Linked DNA regions of Tamandua tetradactyla. The main gene of each other region encodes a partner of the protein of the gene in region 2 in a complex. Links are inferred from orthologs where the notes say so. Each region holds a gene or a part of one and is shown on either strand. Other genes may lie near its edges.

The links.
Region 1: the proteins of GINS3 (region 2) and GINS2 are in contact, whole or in part, in a crystal structure (PDB 2E9X), measured with the Homo sapiens proteins. The link is inferred for Tamandua tetradactyla from reciprocal best matches to the Homo sapiens genes GINS3 and GINS2. Residues at the interface, in NP_073607.2 of Homo sapiens: Leu13, Gly14, Tyr117, Ser121, Leu124, Asn131, Ala132, Ser135, Gln136, Leu138, Leu139, Gln140, Phe142, Ile143, Phe146, Arg147, Ile149, Met150, Asp151, Ser153, Gln154, Ala156, Met171, Gly174, Leu175, Thr178, Gly179, Gly182, Leu183, Asp185; in NP_057179.1 of Homo sapiens: Asp2, Ala3, Ala4, Glu7, Met93, Glu94, Lys97, Asn101, Trp121, Ile125, Arg129, Val130, Ala132, Asp133, Val136, Arg137, Gln139, Met151, Thr155, Ser156, Thr158, Phe159, Leu160, Gln162, Ala163, His166, Met167, Lys169, Leu170, Arg171.

Annotation. Positions count from the first base shown.
Region 1 is NC_135342.1:80,207,753-80,218,063, forward strand, and holds the start of GINS2 (DNA replication complex GINS protein PSF2), read right to left. Parts: upstream 4,743-10,311; 5' UTR 4,635-4,742; coding exon 4,545-4,634; intron 3,445-4,544; coding exon 3,330-3,444; intron 1-3,329. UniProt on the Homo sapiens protein: Required for correct functioning of the GINS complex, a complex that plays an essential role in the initiation of DNA replication, and progression of DNA replication forks.
Region 2 is NC_135342.1:52,016,127-52,026,993, reverse strand, and holds the start of GINS3 (DNA replication complex GINS protein PSF3), read right to left. Parts: upstream 5,199-10,867; 5' UTR 4,990-5,198; coding exon 4,807-4,989; intron 1-4,806. UniProt on the Homo sapiens protein: Required for correct functioning of the GINS complex, a complex that plays an essential role in the initiation of DNA replication, and progression of DNA replication forks.

The DNA.
Region 1 (10,311 bases), about 28 Mb from region 2:
TGTTGATGCCTTAACTTGGACATTTTCAAGGCCTGAGAACTGTATATTGCTATCCTTTGTCCCTGGTTACCTTTACCTAAGAATGGACTATGACGCTGACACTCCAGCAACTTCCATGATTGATAATACACATTGATGTTTTGGGAAGATAACACGTTCTAACTCCATGTGAAGAAGATACAGAAGCTTGCAACTGAAACCTTCCCAGGCCCCACCAGCAATTCTATCTCATCACTGTATTATCTGGTCCCATAACTTAACAAGTTATCTGAGGCAGAAGAAAATTACAGAATGTTATCTGGAGAAACTGTGGGCATGAAGAGGCCAAAAACCATGAGGATTTTCACTCATCAAGGGAAAAAGTTATCTTGCAGGCCAATGTTCATAGAAGCACTATTCACAATAGCCAAAAGATGGAAACAACCCAAGTGTTTTAGTTTCCTTGGCTGCTCAATTTAATACCATGCAATAGGTTGGCTTAAGCAATGGGAATTCATTAGCTCACAGTTTGAGGCTAGGAAAAAAACCCAAATCCAGGCCTCATCAAGGCTATGCTTTCTTTCCGAAGACTGGCATTCTGGGGCTGGCTGCTGGCAATCCTTGGTCCTCTGTCACATGGCAAGGCACATGGTGGCTTCTCTTGGTGTCTCTCTTCAATTCCAGTTTCCATTAACTTTCAGATTCTTACTTCCCACAGCTTTTTCTTTCTCAATTTCATTTTGCCTATAAAGACTCCAGTAATAGAATTAAGACCCAGTCTGACTGAAGTGGGTCACACCTGAACTGAAGTAATCTCATCAAAAGGTCCTACTTACAATGAATCCACACCCATAGGAATAAAGTTTAAGAGCATGTATTTCTGGGGTACTTATAGCTCCAAACCACCATACCAAGTGCCCATCAACAGATGAATAGATAGACAAAATGTGGTTCGCACCCACAGTGGACTGGAACATTATTCACATTTAATCATGTACCAACATGGATGAACCTTGCAAAATCATATTGAGTAAAATAAGCCAGACACGAAAGGACAAATGTTGTACGATTCCATTTCTATGAAATTACTAGAATAAGCAAATCTGCAGAGACAGACATAGGTCAGAGGTTCCTAGGGCCTGGAAGCAGGGGAGAATGGGGAGTTTACTGCTTAATGTGTTCAGTGTTTCTGCTTGGGGTGATGGGAAAATTGTGGTAATGGATGGTGGTAATGGTTGCGCAACATTGTGAATGTAGTTAATGTCACTGAGTTGTAACATGAAACTAGTTAAAATGGGAACTTTTGTGCTTATATATGTATACGTTACCACAATAAAAATTTTAAAAGGAAAAAAAAGTAGCCAGTGATTAGAGAAATTTATTTGTACTAAGCCTTGTTCAGAAGAGAACAAGACAAAATTTACAAATTACAGACACCCAGGATTGGGGGCTGAATATATAATGTAGTTGTTTAATCCCAGTGTCTGGACGTGCAGAAGAGTCCAATCCCACCCACCGCTCCACCACTGCTGCACATGTCCACAGCTCCCTCGGCCTTCCTCCCTTCCTCCCTCTTCCTCATGGGCCTGAAGAAACCCCAACTCTGGAACTGGACTGCTGAATGTGGGTAAGGGAAATGGATGGATGGACAGAAAGACAAAACTGTTGGGTCTCACTTTAAATTACTGACAACATCCCCGGTTGGTCACCTACAATCCTCTTAGTTTCCCTGGTCCATGCATCCTCTTGCTTTTATCTTCTATCCAACCACTCCATGCCATCTCCTCACATCACCAATGCTTCCTCACCCCACAGCCCAACTCTCATCGTTACCTCCTATTTTGCTGAGGAAAGAAAAGCGATCGAGAGAGAACATCTGTGCCCACCCCATCTCCCAACCTCCCTGCAGAGGGTGTAAGACTCCCCTTACCCACAAACATCACTACAGTAACTCTCACCTGACAATCCTCATTTTTCCCTTGCTACTTGATCATTACAAACACACTGTGAGAGCTCCCATCTTACTAAGAAAACCCTGGCACTAAATCCTTCTCCAGTTACCTACCATTTCTCAGGCCTTTTAGAAACAAAACTTTAAGAGTTGTCTTATGTTTACATTAACCTCTTCTCCCACTTGCTCTACACCACTCAAATTAGTGTTTATCCCAACTTTTGCACCAAAACAGGTCACCAAGGTCAATGACCTCCACTCCATTAAACCCAGTGGCTCATTATTGGTCTCAGCATTTGACAAATGCCACCCTTCTCCTTCTTTGGGTCTGTATTGCCTCACTTCTGGGGGCAGCACTGCCTCCCTGGGATCTCTTTCAACCTTGCTGGCCACTCCCTGTGTCTCTTGCTGATTGCTTCTCATGCTCCCAAGCCCTCAACCCAATCAAAGAGCTCAGTTCCTGGGTTTCTTCTTTGCCATCTAAATTCACACCCCAGATGTCCTCACCTGCCTCGCTTGAATACCACCCATGTGCTTATGATAATGACTTCCAAGTCTCAATCCCCACCCAGCTCAGCACCCCCAACTCCTGACAAGTATCCCACTGCCAACATCGTTTCCACTCAATGACCCAACAAGTCTCATATATACCTCAAGTATAATAGGATCAAACCTACTCCAGGGCCCCACTCCAGCGCATCTCCTTCTGCAGCTCCAATCAACAGCCCTGGCAGTCATTCTCTACTCTCTTCTCTCACCTCACAGTCAATCCTTCAGCAAACTCAGCTGTACAAATATACCTAGACTCCAACCACCCCTCATTACTCCATCCCGAGGCAGCCACTAACCTCCTTATCTCTATGGATTTGCCCATGCTGGACAGTTCACACAAAAGAAAACATCAACAGTCTGGCTTCTGTGGCTTAGCATAATGTTTTCAAGGTTCATCCATGTTGCAGCATGTATCAGTGCTTCGTTCCATTTTATGGTAAATAATACTCCATTGTAGGATGATGCATTCTTTTTAGGCATTCTGTATAATGTAAAATAACTCTGCTCCTGCAAACTCTAGTCTATACTTATTTATTTAAAAAAATTAAAACAAATGCTCCTTTAAGACCATGTAATATTTTAAATTTTGAAGCAAGCTGAAACATCTAAAATAAAAATCTAAACTAAAATTTTCATATACACCAAAACCAAAATAAATTTAGAAACAGTGGTTAGCAGAACCCACTAAGAGATAAATCTGGAAGTATGAATTTCAGCTGATCGGAGAACAGGTGAGTAGGGGAGCACTAAGCAAACCAGGAAGGCTGCCCCATGCCCCCACCCATCTGCAGCCTGTGTCATCCCCCATCCAGCCCCACCCAAATTACAGGTCACCACCTCTCCTTACCTACATCCATCCAGCCAGGAGGTATTAAGCGACACTTCTGTCTTTGTTTCAGGTTAACTGCCAACCAAAGAGGCACTTCTACTGGTAAACCAGGGTTAAAAGGCCCCAGATCCCCCTGCCAAAGTTAAAAACAAGCCCCCATAAGATCAGAAACAAAAAACATCATTGTACCTCATCGCTATCAGATGAGACCAACAGCCCTGTGCAAACTGAATTCCAAGTAAAAATTAAAACCAACTGTCATTACAGACCCATCATTACTTTTGCCGTTAAGCATCCCCAAACATGTGGTGCTGTGGTTTATGTATCTTCTGGACATCATCTGCTGTCATATACTGACCAGGACCTCTCAGGCAAGTATCACCTGAGCCCTGGGCTTCCCAAGTGGTGCAGACACAGCACCCATCTGATGACACCAAGAAGTACTTAGTTCAACCTGTGAGCACTTAAAGCCTTGACTCTCTTCCTTCGTTTCTGCCTACATCCTCCAGTTTCCAGAGCAATTTTTTTTTTTTCTTCACATGGGCAGGCACCGGGAAAAGAAGCTGGGGCATGGCAGGCAAGCATTCTTACCTGCTGAGCCACCGTGGCCCGCCCTGGAGCAATATTTAATGAAGAGAATTTCAGTCTCCTTGGGGTTAGGGGGAAGAAACTCTGTGCATTTATAGCCCTTGACCTTTGTCCTCTGATAAAGGCCTCAGGCCCTGGAACTTTCCCCTACATAAAACGCAAACTCTACTGACTGGGTAAGCTTGGCATAGGATTTCATCTTTAAGCCTTGATTTTCTGCTCTGAAAAATGGGAACAGAGCTGAACTGTTCCCAACTCCAATCCACGGACACTCTGACGAGAGAGTCTGGAGTGGAGGCAGAAAGCTGAATTTTAACCAGGGCCAGGGCGATTCTGACGAGGTGCGGCAAAGTCCGGCAAGCCCCAAAGTCAGTGGGGACGGTCCCCCAGGGCTGCCCTCGCTTAGACACGGCCACAGGCGCAGGCGTGCCCGGGGCACCTCACCTCTGCCCAGCCGGCTACACGCCGGGCGACCCCCAGGCAGAGGCGGGAGGCGCGGCGGAGGCCCGAGCGGCCCGGTGGGGGCCCCAGCCCAGAGGCTCCCCGGGTGTCGTCGAACAGACCGCGCGGCTGCCCAGGGCCTGGGCGCCTCTGGGCTGGGGTCTGCCCTGGGGGTCGCCACCTGCCCCAGCCCGGACGCCTTACCCCAATAAGGTAGATCTTGTCCAGGCTGAAGTTAGGGATGATGGTGACCAGCTCCTTCTCGGCCAGAAACTCTACCTCGGCCGCCTCCATGACGGCCGGCGTGGGGCTCTCCGCCTCCGTGAAGACCTCAGCTTTCCCGGGAAGACGCCACGGCCGCCGCTTTCCCGCCACGACGCGGACCCGCCCCCCTCGCCCGGAAGAGAGCCGCGGCCGGCCTATAGGAACGCGGCGCTCTCCACGGAAGACGGAGAGCGCAGTTGTTACGAGCTCGGCGATTGGCGCTCCCGAGCGAGGCTCCGGGCCGACCCCGCCCCCTCGCGTCGGGCTCGGGCTCGGGCTCGGGCCCGGGGGGGGGGGGGGGGGGGCGCCCGTGGCGGCGCACCTGGCGCTTCCCACCTGCGCACCTGGCGCCGCCGCCCGGCGCACCTGAGGCTGCGGGCTCCTGCTCCCGCCCGCGCCGCGCTGCGGGGCCTCTTGGCCTCAAAGTCCTGCACCTGGCGCCTGCCCGCCAGCACCCCGAGTCCAAACCCATAGGAGTGGACAACACAGTGATCCCTAACGTGAACCGTGACCTGTATTTACTAGTATAATCATAATAGTGTTTCATCAGTTGTAACAAAGGTACCATACAAGTACAAAATGTCAGTAATAGAGAAAGCTGTGTGTGAGGGGAGTCATAAATGAGGACTCTGTGCTTTCCACATTATTTTTCTGTAAACCTACATGGTAGTTTGAAGCTGCTCTAATTAAAAAAGAAAAAAAAAATCAGACAGAAACTAAACAAAAAATCCGCACCAGGCCGGGAGAAAATGCGTTTGTGGGCCAAACTCAGTACCAGGTGCCCGGACATGGCTGGATCCAGGCAAGCACTTTGACTGCTCCCGCAGTGGACGGTGAGAAGGACTTGTTCCCTTTAATCTCAGAATCTTCTCCCTTCTCTCTGCAGATTACTTAAAAATCTATAAAAATGACGATTCTTTCTGGCTGCCCAGACTTTCTCGTGCAGAGATTGCAGGGAAAGAGGCTCCTAATTTGTCTTTTCAAGTCTCACCTGGTGTGACTGAGGAAGGGGCAAGCTTGCACAGTCTTTGCAAATATCTCTTGATTTGTTCACTATTTGTTGTATGGGATTCCCATGACACACAGGCGTAGGTGAAACATATAATAGGAATGGTTCCCTGCTCACCATAAGACTGTGTGTAGGTATGCACATTTCTGGGGCCCTCTCCCTGGGGCATTTTAATTCAGGGGTCTGGAGGGGAAACAACTGACTTTTTTTTTTGTATGCTATATGGTGGGGTCACATTTCATTCTTTTTCCATGTGAGTATCCCATTATTGTAGCACCATTTGTTGAATTTTTGTTTGTTTTTGTTGTTTGTTTATTTTTGGGAAGTGCATGGGTCGGGAATCAACCCCAGGTCTCCCACATGGCAGTCAAGAATTCTGCTACTGAACTACCCTCGCACCTCTCCTACAGCTGACTTTTAATAGGTGTGGGGTGAAATCACCTCAGCGATAAGACTTAGGAGGTGAAGCCATTCCTCTAGAAGGCCTTGGAGGGATGGACAGGGAACTGGACTTGAACTTGAGCTCGGCCCATTAGGCCCTGAGAGAAAACATAGGCCATACCAGGATTCCAGGCTTCTGTCTCCCCACGGGAAAGCTGCCTCACCCCACCCATCCCTGTGCCTCCTCTCCCAGCCCCTTGAATCGTGCCCCACGTGGGGTTGCTGGAAGGAAAATCAACTATAACAAGCTCCACCCACTCACATGTCCTTGAAAGCTCCACGTGCTATGCATCTGCATGGAAAGCTGTCCTTTACAGACAGTGAGAGTTATCCTGTATGTTGCCTTCATTAAATCTATTTATTAAGACAAATATTTTCAAAGAAAAGAAATAAAAGGTCACACTGAATGCAGTGTGAACAAGGGCAGGTAACTGCTCTGAATCTCAGTTTCTTCATCTGCAAAATGAGGTAGGAAGAGAAGGGGCCCTGAGATGTTCAGGGAGGAGGGGAGTCTATGGGCCACCTGACCCATCCCGAAATAGATAATTCCCTCAGGCATCTGCCAGACAGTGTCTGCCAAAGTGTCTGGGTTCTGATTGACGGGTGGATATTTTCTTGACTGGCAATATTTGCGTTCCAAAGTTGGCGAGGCTTCCTTCCCTGATTCTCACAGACTGTAAAAGAGCAAAGGAGAATAGCTGGTGGGCCAGCCGAGGATCAGAGAGGCCAGCCGAGGATCAGAGAGGCCAGCTGAGGGGTGGGTAGGAGAACTGGAGAGCCCAGTGTCAGTGGTCTGGGTCCAGCTCTCCAAGTCACTCATCTTCTCTGAGCCTCAGTTTCCTTATTGGTAAAATGGGGACAATGCTGCTACTTGTCTTACCTGGCTGTTGGGAAAACAAAAAAGAGATTGTGTGGGTACGACATTGCTTTAGAGGCTGCAAAATGATGGGGCGTTGATGTCCCAAATTCTAGTGTATGTCAGAAGCACCTGGGGACTTATTAAATGTCCCTCCTTTCATAGTAGCATGACTTGGAATAGTCAAAAGGTAGAAACAACCCACGTGTCCATCAATTGATAACAGATAAGCAAATGTACTATATCCGTACAAGGTGATACCATTTGCCATAGAAAGGATTGAAGTTCTGATACATGCTACGACATGGATGAACCTTGAAAATTGTTCTGGAATTTGGATAGTACTAATGGTTGTATAAATCTGGTAATATACTAAAAACCAGCGACTTGTGCACTTTCAAAGGGTGAATTTTTTATATGTGAATTATTCCTCAGTCAAACAGTTCCTAAGAGCCAGGCTCAGACTTTCTGACCTGGGGATCTGCAGTGGGTCAGGGAAACCACACACGCAAGCTCTTTGAAGGTTTCAATAATTGGGAAAACTGGGAAGCAAAGTAATTTTCCCCAGTAATTTGCACTCCAACTCTGACTTACTCGGCGGGGCCCAGGCTTGAGAGGCCTTCTGAATTACTGGGTGTCTGCCCCATACGTGGTCTGAGTGAGAGGACCAGACATTTAACAGAGAAGGTGTAAGTGCCTGAAAAAAACTAAAGCAGAGTAGGGGTGGAGAATGGTGTGTGTGGGGGGGCTACTTTAGATGCGGTGGTCAGGTCTCACCACTATTTTGTGTTCTAAAAAAGCGTTTCCCCTAGAAGTATCCAGGTGGTAACGGATTAGAGCTGGCAACATCAATATGAGCTCACTGTAGCTTAATAGAGATGCAGATGGTTGCACAGAGAAATGTTTGTAGGTGTGTGTACACAGACAGGTTAGTGTACACACGTCTATTTTTTTGGTCAGCAGCTGAGAAGGCCTGGAAATCATGACAGCCCAGGAGCAAAGAGCACACCAGCACCCAGATCTTGGTTTCTAAATACAATCCTGAAAAAAAAAAACAGGGATCCTGAAGCAATGGCTGATTCCAGGACTGGGGCAGAAAACACATGAGATGAACCTAGAACATCTTGTAATGCCAGGAAGTAAGGAAGTATATGTGTGTGTGTGTGTGATGGGACATGTCAGAGAGATACAGGAGCCAAACTGAAAGCTCCCAATGGACAAAGCCAAACTCAATTTGAGCAACAAAATAAATAAAGTATTATCAGAGAGTAATCATCAAAGTATCAAATAAAGGCTCCTGAGTCCATTCTGTTATAAACAAATAAACGATGACTCTCTGGTACAGAAGAATTCCAAAGAATTTTCACAGACGCTCTGCCCTGCAGAAGGTGGAACTCCAGCCCCACTCCTAAGGTGCGGCTGCCCTTGGTGACTTCCTTCCAAGGGGTGTGGAAAGGGAGGAGAGCATAGAGTGACCTGACAGTGACGAAACCTGACCATGTCGGAGAGCCTGTCCCAGCCAACAGGAGCCTGCAGAGACAGGATGACTGAAGGTCACGTGGGATCCCGGGACAGAAAAAGGACATTAGATAGAAACTAAGGACATCTGAATAAATTTATGGCCTTAGTTAACAATAACATGTCAATGTTGGCTTATTAGAGGTTTTTTAATTGCAGTAACACGCAAACCAACTAAAATTTCCTATTTTAACTATTCGCACATATACAATTCAGTGGCATGAAGATTCATTTGTTTTGACCAACGTACCATAATTGTAGCATAACATAAGGTATTATTAACAGGGCACACTCGGTGTGGGGGAGGTGGGAGCCCCTTATACTATCTTTGCAACTTTTCTGGAAATCTAAGCTTATTCTAAAATAAAATGTGCCACCCTGTTGACTCCCCGGGACACCTGAAACTCACAGCAATGATCGTTCCCTCCCCTAGCGGTGAACATGTCTCTGCCTCTGGAGTAGTCGGCGCTGCAATATCTTTTGGTCGACTCAGAATTTAGCAGAATTCTCCAAATCCGCCATCAACGCAGACACCTTCTTTTAAAGCAGTGGGATTTCAGGCAGCAGCGGTGAGGGTGGGGCGGGGGCGGGCTCTGTGGCTGCCCTGCCCAGGACAGGGGCCACCAGCCACGTGTGGGAACCGAAGCCACCTGCGCGAGGACAGCCCACCAAAGCCAACCCACACGGCGTTCTGGGTTGAGCAGGTTTGGGAAACCCCACGAGGACTGTGTTAGTTCAATGGTGACTCTACCCTAAGGACTGGGTGCCCCCCACCTGGGGCCAGGGAAATGATGAACAGCAGGGAAGACACGATGAGGTCGGGAACAGAAGAGAGGTTCTCAGGCCTGGCTGTGCATGGGAAGAGAGTTCCGGATGCCCAGGCCGCACCCTGCACCAGATGAAGCAGAAGTGCTGGGGTTGGGGCCTGGGCATCTGCATCTTTCAGAGCTTCCTAGCCAAGGTTAAGAGCTGGGGTTCGGGCATAACTAAGCTGAACCTCTCCCCTTTGTCTCTCAGGACCCTATTGTAGGGGAAAGCAATGACTAGCAGCTCCTGGCATGGTCACCAAGAGAAGGAAGGGGCTAGAGATATGGTCCCAGCAACAAAAAGAAAAAAGAAAGAAACAGAATGGAAAACACCTCCTCCGGGTATCAGTCTATAGATGCCTTCTCTTGCCTCTGCTCAAACAGGTGGCACAGGATAGGGCCTTGAGAACTAGAAATTGTTACCTTCCAAACCGGAGTCCCTCCCGTGTCTCAGGTGCACGCGTGTTGCGGGAGGGCCGGCTGCTGGGGGACTTGGCCACTGGCCTGCCCTCGGTGTCCCTGCGTTAAAGTGGGGGTGCTGCCACGACCTTCTGCAGGGCTGGTCTCGGTGGGCAACACCCCAGGCTGGTGTTGTGGGCAGCGTTGGTCCAATGGCTTGTGCCCACACCTTGTCAGGACACCTCCGTGTCCCAGGGCCTCTGTGAGGCTAACAGGGATGGGTGCAGGTGAAGCCCCTAAAAGGGGGGAGCTCCTACTCCTAGTAATAATGGTATTTCTTTCTCACAAGAGCCCTCCGAGCTATTATCATCGTAGTTGAGTGTGGGGCTCCAAGGGCAAGGAAAGAAGCAAGGACCTGGCTGTCCTAAGCCACTTCCAGGGACTTGGACTCCATCCTGAGGGCAGTGAAGCATTTCGGGGATGCAGGTCGGGGGAGTGACGTGAATAGACTTGCATTTTAGAAAGGAAACTGCGTGGCAGATGGAGCAGGGCGGGCCACACCTGGCGGCAGGAGACTGCCCTGGAAGCTGGGAGCACAAGTCCAGGTAAGGCTTTCACACCTGGTGTCCTAGGGTAGAGGCTGTGGGCACCGAAAATGGGATCTGTCTGAACCCATAG
Region 2 (10,867 bases):
CATTCTATGAAGCCAACATCACCCTCATACCAAAACCAGGCAAAGATATTACAAATAAAGAAAACTACAGACCAATCTCTCTAATGAATACAGATGCAAAAATCCTCAATAAAATTCTAGCAAATCGTATCCAACAGCACATTAAAACAATTATACATCATGACCAAGTAGGATTCATCCCAGGTATGCAAGGCTGGTTCAACATAAGAAAATCAATTAATGTAATACACCATATCAACAAATCAAAGCAGAAAAATCACATGATCATCTCAATTGATGCAGAGAAGGCATTTGACAAGATTCAACATCCTTTCCTGTTGAAAACACTTCAAAAGATAGGAATACAAGGGAACTTCCTTAAAATGATAGAGGGAATATATGAAAAACCCACAGCTAATATCATCCTCAATGGGGAAAAATTGAAAACTTTCCCCCTAAGATCAGGAACAAGACAAGGATGTCCACTATCACCACTATTATTCAACATTGTGTTGGAGGTTCTAGCCAGAGCAATTAGACAAGAAAAAGAAATACAAGGCATCAAAATTGGAAAGGAAGAAGTAAAACTATCACTGTTTGCAGATGATATGATACTATACGTCGAAAACCCGGAAAAATCCACAACAAAACTACTAGAGCTAATAAATGAGTACAGCAAAGTAGCAGGTTACAAGATCAACATTCAAAAATCTGTAGCATTTCTATACACTAGTAATGAACAAGCTGAGGGGGAAATCAAGAAACGAATCCCATTTACAATTGCAACTAAAAGAATAAAATACCTAGGAATAAATTTAACTAAAGAGACAAAAAACCTATATAAAGAAAACTACAAAAAACTGCTAAAAGAATTCACAGAAGACCTAAATAGATGGAAGGGCATACCGTGTTCATGGATTGGAAGACTAAATATAGTTAAGATGTCAATCCTACCTAAATTGATTTACAGATTCAATGCAATACCAATCAAAATCCCAACAACTTATTTTTCAGAAATAGAAAAACCAATAAGCAAATTTATCTGGAAGGGCAGGGTGCCCCGAATTGCTAAAAACATCTTGAGGAAAAAAAACGAAGCTGGAGGTCTCGCGCTGCCTGACTTTAAGGCATATTATGAAGCCACAGTGGTCAAAACAGCATGGTATTGGCATAAAGATAGATATATCGACCAATGGAATCGAATAGAGTGCTCAGATATAGACCCTCTCATCTATGGACATTTGATCTTTGATAAGGCAGTCAAGCCAACTCACCTGGGACAGAGCAGTCTCTTCAATAAATGGTGCCTAGAGAACTGGATATCCATATGCAAAAGAATGAAAGAAGACCCATCTCTCACACCCTATACAAAAGTTAACTCAAAATGGATCAAAGATCTAAACATTAGGTCTAAGACCATAAAACAGTTAGAGGAAAATGTCGGGAGATATCTTATGGATCTTACAACTGGAGGCGGTTTTATGGACCTTAAACCTAAAGCAAGAGCACTGAAGAAGGAAATAAATAAATGGGAACTCCTCAAAATTAAACACTTTTGTGCATCAAAGAACTTCATCAAGAAAGTAGAAAGACAGCCTTCACAATGGGAGACAATATTTGGAAATGATATATCAGATAAAGGTCTAGTATCCAGAATTTATAAAGAGATTGTTCATCTCAACAACAAAAAGACAGCCAACCCAATTACAAAATGGGAAAAAGACTTGAACAGACACCTCTCAGAAGAGGAAATACGGATGGCCAAGAGGCACATGAAGAGATGCTCAATGTCCCTGGCCATTAGAGAAATGCAAATCAAAACCACAATGAGATATCATCTCACACCCACCAGAATGGCCATTATCAACAAAACAGAAAATGACAAGTGCTGGAGAGGATGCGGAGAAAGAGGCACACTTATCCACTGTTGGTGGGAATGTCAAAGGGTGCAACCACTGTGGAAGGCAGTTTGGCGGTTCCTCAAAAAGCTGAATATAGAACTGCCATACGACCCAGCAATACCATTGCTAGGTATCTACTCAAAGGACTTAAGGGCAAAGACACAAACGGACATTTGCACACCAATGTTTATAGCAGCATTATTTACAATTGCAAAGAGATGGAAACAGCCAAAATCTCCATCAACAGAAGAGTGGCTAAACAAACTGTGGTATATACATACGATGGAATATTATGCAGCCTTAAGAGAAGATAAACTTATGAACCATGTAATAACATGGATGGACCTAGAGAATATTATGCTGAGTGAATCCAGCCAAAAACTAAAGGACAAATACTGTATGGTCCCACTGATGTGAACGGACATTCGAGAATAAACTTGAAATATGTCATTGGTAACAGAGTTCAGCAGGAGTTAGAAACAGGGTAAGACAATGGGTAATTGAAGCTGAAGGGATACAGACTGTGCAACAGGACTAGATACAAAAACTCAAAAATGGACAGCACAATAATACCTAATTGTAAAGTAATCATGTTAAAACACTGAATGAAGCTGCATCTGAGCTATAGGTTTTTGTTTTGTTTTGTGTTGTTTTGTTTTGATTTTACTATTATTACTTTTATTTTTTTCTCTATATTAACATTCTATATCTTTTTCGGTTATGTTGCTAGTTCTTCTAAACCAATGCAAATGTACTAAGAAATGATGATCATGCATCTATGTGATGATGTTAAGAATTAATGATTGCATGTGTAGAATGGTATGATCTCTAAATGTTGGGTTAATTTCTTTTTTTCCGTTAATTAAAAAAAAAAAAAAAAAGAGAAGGGATAATTGGAGATGAAGGGATACAGACTGTACAACGGGACTGGATATAAAAACTCAGAAATGGACAGCACAATACTACCCAATTGTAATGCAATTATGTTAAAACACTGAATGAAGCTGCATGTGAGGTATAGGTTTTTTGTTTTTGTTTTTTTTGTTTTTTTTCTTTCTATTATTGTTTTAATTCTTATTCTGTTGTCTTTTTATTTCTTTTTCTAAATCGATGCAAATGTACTAAGAAATGATGAATATGCAACTATGTGATGTTATTAAGAATTACTGATTGTACATGTAGATTGGAATGATTTCTAATTGTTTTGTTAATTCTTTTTTTAATTAATAAAAAAAAATAAACTCATGACACCTGTAAAAATATTAAAGCATCTGTTCTAGTTTGCTAGCTGCAGGGATGCAATATACCAGAAATGGAATGGCTTTTATTAAGGGGAATTAATAAGTTGCTAGTTTACCATTCTAAGGTCAAGAAAATGTCCCAATTACAACAAGTCTATAGAAATGTCCAATCAAAAGCATCCAGGGAAAGACACCTTGGTTCAAGAAGGCTGATGAAGTTCAGGGTTTCTCTCTCAAGTGAGAAAGTACATGGTGAACAAGGTCAGTGTTCCTCTCTCATCTGGAAGGGCACATGGTGAACACGGCATCATCTGCTAGCTGCTTCTCCTGGCTTCCTGTGTCATGATGCTCCCGGGGAGACATTTTCCTTCATCTCCAAGGGTCGCTGCCTGGTGGACTCTGCTTCTCATGGCTATGTCATTCTGCTCTGTTCTCTCTGAACCTCTCATTCTCCAAAATGTTTCCTCTCTTACAGGATTCCAGAAACCTATCAAGACCCACCCAAATGGGTTGAGACAAGTCGTCACCCAATCCAGCTTAACAACCACTCTTGATTAAATCACATCTTCAGGGGGATGATCTGATTACAATTTCAAACATACAGTGTTGAATAAGGACTACTGTGCCTTTATGAAATGGGATTCAGATTAAAATATGGCTTTTCTAGGGGACATACATCCTTTGAATCCAGCTCAGCATCTGTGTTAACAAACAAAACTTTGTGTATGTAATATTTTGATAAAAATTAACTCAAAACAGGGTGCAAGGTAGTTCAGTGGTAGAATTCCAATCTGCCATGTGGGAGAACTGGGTATGATTCTGGCTGTGCCCTTCCCCCCAACCCACTTCCCCCAAAAGAAAACTCAACAAATGTACTTCAATAATGGGATAGTCACATGGAAAAAGAATGAAACGTGGCCCCACCACACAGCATACAAAAAAGAAGAACTAAAAACAGACCAAACAGAACAACCCTCCAAATGAAACTCAGGTCAAAGAGGAAACCAATCACGGCCATTATAGGCCATGCTTTCCTAGAAAGAATTTGGATTTCAAGTCTTACAGGCCTAGGTTCGAATGGCCAAAAACTGTGGGCCCAGACATGTTACTCAACCTTTCCAGGGTCCTCGTTCGTAACAATATCTACAGACTGCTGAAAGTTTAAAGGGGTAATAGATGGAAAAGGTTACCTCCCTCACCCCCATCCTTACTGGCACTAAATCCTCAGGTAATGGTTTTTGACACCATCACCATTATGCAGGAGTGAATCTAAAATTTGTGGTTTCCAGATCTAGCACATGCTCTTACCCAAAGCTCTGTTTTAAGGTAAACGAGATTGCAACCCTGATCTCCTGAAGTATTCAGTACCAGCCTATTCTCAGCATTCACCTCAATGTGGGGGGAAAAGATTGCTGAATTTGGACAATTTCAAAAATGAAATCAATGTTGCAGCAGTCAGAAAACCTACGTTCAGTTTAGTTTCCGCCTAGGTGGCAAGCGCCAGGCCAAGACACCTCTGCTTAGGCGCCAGGAGACAGGAGGGGAGAACTCATTGCAGGGCATGGCCCGTCCTGCCCCGGAAACTACAAATCCCAGAGGACGCCGTGGGCCCCGCCGGGCGACGCGGTGTCCGCCAGGAGTTGCATGTAGTCTTTACGGGTGGGAAGCAATAGCGAAGGATTTACCTGAGGGATCGCGTTGTGAGTCTCGGGGCCTCCGCTCCGCTCCAAGAAGGCGCCGAGGCGAGGCAAGGCGGTCTCCGTGCGCACCGGGAGTTTTTCGTGGGACGTGAGAATGTCGTCTAGGGAAAGAAAGTTCTCCTCAGGCCCCAGCGCACCCGACTCCACCGGGAAATAAGCCTCCGACATGGCGCCGGCTTCGGCTTCTTTACTTCCACTCGCGTGACTCGGAAGGCCTTAGGTGGTCGGGCGTGTGAAAGGCGGGGGCTGCTTGGCTTTGTTAAGAGTATGGCGATAGCCGCAGCCCCGGGCCGGCTTGAAAAACTGCTCTTTCCCGCGCTCTGGGTGGGGCCAGACCGAAGCAGCCGATCCAGGCCAGTCTGCTGGGTTGGGCACATTGCCCAGGCAAAAGCAATCGATAAAACCTGGCGACTAGGTCCAGAGTTACAGGCGGAGGCTCCCGGTGGGTGGATCCGCCGGAAGTTGATCTCCTTTCGAGGGCAGATCAATGTGGGAGTGTTATAAAGAAGCTGTAAATGCCCATAGACGCTTCAGTATGCATTTAAACTGGCTTATGTTTATTCGGTCCTTTAGACTTGTATATAAAATTAAAAGTACTTTGCAAAACTTTTGGGGGATTAAAAGAAAAAAACAATAAAGCATCGCTGTGCCCTCCACCCCAGGCCTGATTAATTCTGACCCATTTGTTGCAGTTTTTTACTGTGCATCTTTGTTAGTCTTGGTACTTGAAATAAAAATGTAAAAAAAGAGAGAGAGAGAGACCCCAGAACTACCCCCCAGATAAATATTTGGACTAGATTATGAGGTATTTGTAGGATTTTGGTGGGAGTATGGGTGAGGTGGGAGGAGGGGTGAAGCTGGACTGCATATGGCTCACAAATGTCTTGAGTCTATTTCATTACCTCACAGTCACCTTACCACCAGCTGGCATTCTCCTTTTGTGGCTTTTCATCTCTTTAGTCTGCTATTTTTCACTGTTATCTCCCCACTGCAAAGCGCATGTTAGGCACTTAATAAATCTGTGTTCAATGAATAAATGGCTCTTTATTTATACTAGTGATATTAAATTTCCTTTAAAACATTAAACAAAAATAATGAATCAACTTTAAGTAAATAATAGTACAGATGGTATGCAGATACTGTAACAGTCACAAAGGGTAGTGGGCAAATGAATCCCTGAAAAACTGAATTAAAGTGGTAAACAGTTTTGCCAAGGTACAGGTTAAATGCACATATTCTCTAGATCTATAAGCTCGAGTTGTTAGTATCAAGATGAAAACTCAATGGTTGGGCTCCACTAATTTAGATTTATATTTTGTTGAAGTTTTGGTAGGACTGTATCGAATTTTACCTTTACAAAACTGTAAAAATAGAATGCTTAAGCAAACGGAGTTAGCAAGATTTGAAATGGCCTAGTTCCCTACCTATGAAGCATTTCAATTACAGTGTTACTTCTAGAACCTTACAAGCCTGTAAGAGTCCAATTTCCACCACTTTAATGGATTTTATGACCTTGGATGAGTTGCTTACCTCCCAGAAACTTAGTTTCTGAATCTATAAAATGGGATAATGACGGTAGCTCACAGAGTATGTAGTGAGTGAATGAGCCAATGAAGACAGAACACTTAGCTCAGGGTCTGGACCATAGTTAGGTCTGAATAAACATTCCTTCTTATCATCATGATTCACACGTTTGTTCACCACTGTATCCTCAGTACCTCAATACCTGGCATGTAGCAGGCATTCAATGAATATCTGTCAACTAGCAATCATTCTATCATTACTGATATAGACTTGGCTATACCTGCCTCTCTCCCTAATCCAAATTACTAAATGTACTTGGAGGTAATACAACATTATTCTACAATTCAACTATTTCCTGCAAAAATTCAGGTAGAATTTCTATCTTTTCAGTTCAAATTATTAGAGGTTTTTCTCTATTTTGAAATCACTGTACTAAGTAAGGTTAATAAATTTGAATTACTGGAGTTCATTTTTATATAATGTAAATGTTCTTTTGGTTGAGCTATTTCTTGAGCACTGCTCCAAAACGCCTTCCTTGAGATCAAAATAAATTGATGGGCACAATGTGACCTTATGTGTGGGTAGTGCCAAGTTTAGATTCTTCCCACAGTCTTCAGCAATACTAGCAGAAATTGTAAACCCAGCTTTATATATTCAGAAAAATTTTGTATGTGTGTTTCACCCTCACAACTTGGCAAAGGAGCAGCTATCACATCATTATAATAGAGGTAATTTAATCCAACTTTTCTTTTTCTGTGTTCCAGGTCCATAAAAATATCCTTTTCTACCAACCTTATATTTTCATCCCTTTCTGGTAATTTATTATGTATTTAATCCATGATCTGATAGCTAGAGTTTCTCTCTGTTCAAGAGGGAAAGTGGGCAGATTAATTAGTTTGGGGAGAAAATGCAGAAGAATGGCTGTCATTTCCTCATCAGATTGTTCAGATGCTATTTGATGCCCTGCAGATGTGGATACAAAGAAGATGATGAACTGTTCTGGACTGTTAAGGAGCTCAGTGTCCAATGGAGGAAAGAGTAGTATGATATGATAAAAGCTTTGAGAGAACCATATCCAAAATGTTATAGAAGCTCAGAAGAAGGAGTGGTGAATTCTGAGAAGTGGTAAATTCTGAGAAGGTGTGGTGAATTCTGACCAGGACGAGAAGATGGGTTTATGAAGTCTTTACAGAGGGAGAAAGGCCAGAACAGGGCCCTAGGACATGAGTAGGACTTTCTTAGCAGGCCCACAAATGTAAAGAGGGGAACATTTCCAGCTCAGGGATCAACTTGGTGCAAAGATTTAGAACTCTGAAAGTTCAGGATGAAACATCTCTCTTTTCAATGCACGCTCTCCTTTTTCCTTGTATATACTGTTTAATGACCCCATCATCCATCTAGTTACTTGTATCTTTATATGGCACGTAAGAAAATCCAATTCAAATTGACTCAAAAGACAAGGGGATTTCTAGGCTCCCATAACTGGACAGTCCAGGGCTTCACAGTTGGTTGATCCAGCAACCCAAGCTTGTCATTGGGAATCCAGCTCTCTTTTTTCTGCACAGAATGAGCTCCCATCTATGGCTCATTCCTCTGAGATCTCAAGATGATTGCCAATTATGTCAGGGCAACAAGCTTCCTTGTTTTCATCCTGTGCTTCCCATTTGGGTCCCAGCATTCCAAACTAGAGTTCTGACATTCACCCTGATTGGCAGGTTTAGATCACATGCTCATTCCTGGACCAAGAAGTATAGCCAGGGCAATGGAATGTGCTAATTAATGTAAGTCTGTCAAGGCCCACCTCTAAGGTAGGACTGAGGTCAACTTCCCTAAAGCATATGGGCTGCACAACGGGGGAGGTTGAGGGTGTTTTCCTGAGTAACAATCTGGGTGCTTTTAGGAAGGGAGCAGCTGGGTACAATAAATAAATGTACATTGCAATCATTATCCAATTCAGAAACATGGGAATAATTCACCATTGCTTCCTTTCTCACCTCCCTGTATCCAATCAGTCAAAAGATCACCCATACAGTTAACGTGCCTCCTAACTGGTCTCTCTGCCTTCACTATCTCCTTGTCCCAAAGTTCCATTGTACTAGTCTTATTGCCATCTTCCTACCCCAAAGACCGATCTTGTTACGCCTCAGCCTAAAACCCAACTGGCTCGCCATTGGTTACAGAATAAATTCTATACTCCTTGGTATGTCATACGAGTCTTCCATGATCAGATTTCCGTCTTCATTTCTCTGACACTTCCTCATAGTTACTCTACAGTACAGTTTCCCAAGATCACAGTTTGTTCATGTCTCAATGTCTTTGCCTGTGATGTTCCCTCTCCCTGGACTGTCTTTTCCTTTTCTCTTCACCTCGCTAACGTTTAGTCCTCCTCCACCTCTCAGCTCCAGATTGAGCTAAGTTTCTTTTCTCTCTGTACTCTAACATCTGTTCTAGTCTGCTATCTTAATGCTTACTGCATTACAGTGAAATTACTATAACTCCCCTACTAGACCACAGGCTCCCCAGAGGCAGGAATAATGCCTTTATTCATTGGCATATACTGGTATTTGGTGACTGCTTGCTTAAATGCCCCACTAAAGCATGAAAGAAATATGTACTGAACCCCACGTTGTTTTAAAAATAGAGCCTTGAGAACTGGGTTGAATTGAAAACAAAATAGTAATATTATATACCCCTAATATATGGAAAGATAATACAGTACCCATCTATGTTTAGGAAGTAACCTTTTGATTTCATTTTAAGCAAAATTTAAACTCTTCATCTTCAAATTAAGTAAATCCAACAAAAAATTTTCCTTTTTTTTCACCTATCAGGTTGGCAAAGATTTTAAATTTATGAAGACACTCGGTTGGATGGGACTATATTGGTTCAACCTCTTTGGAGGGCAATTCAGCACTATCAGAATGTAATATGAACATACTCATTGATCTGGCAATTCTATTTCTAGATTTTTTTCTACAATACCCTGCAAATGTTTGGAAGGATATGTACAAGGACTTCAACTGACGCATTGTTCCTAATAAAAGAAAAGGTTAGAATCAACTAAATAACTATTAATAGGACACTGGTAAATAAATTATGGCAATTTTACTATTGGAATATTGCAAATTCATTTAAAAAATGAGGTAGATCCATGTGACTATATGAAATGATCTCCAAGTTATATTCATATGTTTTAAAAAAAAACCACTGCATGACGGAAAGAAAAAGAAATGAAAGGCATACAGATTGGAAAGAAAAATAAACCCTTCTATTTGCAGAAAAGAATAATGGCACCTCAAATGCTGATGAGGATGCAAAGAAACTGGATGATTCATACATTGCTGGCGGGAATGAAAAATGGTATAGCAACATTGGAAAACAGTTTGGGAGTTTCTTACAAAACTAAAACACACAATCACTAATGACGTAGCGATTGCACTCTTGGGCGTCTATCCCAAAGAAATGAAAATTTATGTTCACACAAAAACTTGTCCATGAATGTTCATAGCAGCTTTATTCATAATGGCCCCAAACTGCAGACAACCCAGATGTCCTCCAACGGATGATTGGTTAAACAAACTACGGTACATCTGTACCATGGAATACCACTCAGCCATTAAGAGGAACGGCCTATTGATACACACAACTTGGCCGAATCTTCAGGAAATTATGCTGAAAGGAAAACCGCCAATCCCAAAATATACTGTCTCCATTTATATAACATTTTTGAAAAGATAAAATTTTACAAATGGAGAACAGATTAGTGCTTGCCAGGAGTTCCGGATGGCGGACGGGAGGCAGGTGGGAGGTGGATGTGGTTATAAACAGGCAATACAGGGGATGCTTGTGGGGGCGGAACTCTTCTGTAGCTTGTCTGTGGTAGTGGATACATGAGCCAACACCCAGGATAAAATTGTCTAGAACTTAATATGTATAAATGAGTACAGGTAAAACTCGGGAAACCTGAATCAGGTGGATCGATTGTATCAACGCCGATATCCTGATTGTGATACTGCATTATAGTTTTGCAAGATGTTCCATTGGTGGAAACTGGGTAAGGGTTACTCATATCTCTCTATATTATTTCTCACCATTGACAATGATCTCAAATAGTTTAATAAAGAAAAAAAGCAAGGTGGAGAACAATGCGTCTAGCATGTTATCATTTTTATGAAAATGGGGGCTATCAATTTAGAGATATGCTTATATTTGCATAGACTATTTCTGGAAAGATATTAATAAAAATGGCCATGGAGGTTGTCTCTAGGAGTTGGAGGGTCAAGGAGACTGGCTTTTCACTGAATACCCTTTTGTACAGTTTGAAGTTTTAAAACTAAGCATGCATTGTTTTTATTAAAAACTCTAAGAACTTAAAAAATAAAGCAACTATGCTTTTTAACTTTATTCCACCCTTGTTTGGTTCTCCTCATGGTTTAGTGATTTGTTTCTCTGCTCCCTGCTCTGAAACCCACGACAAGTACTCATTATTCCCCTTTAAATATACAGGGCCCATATGTTTTTT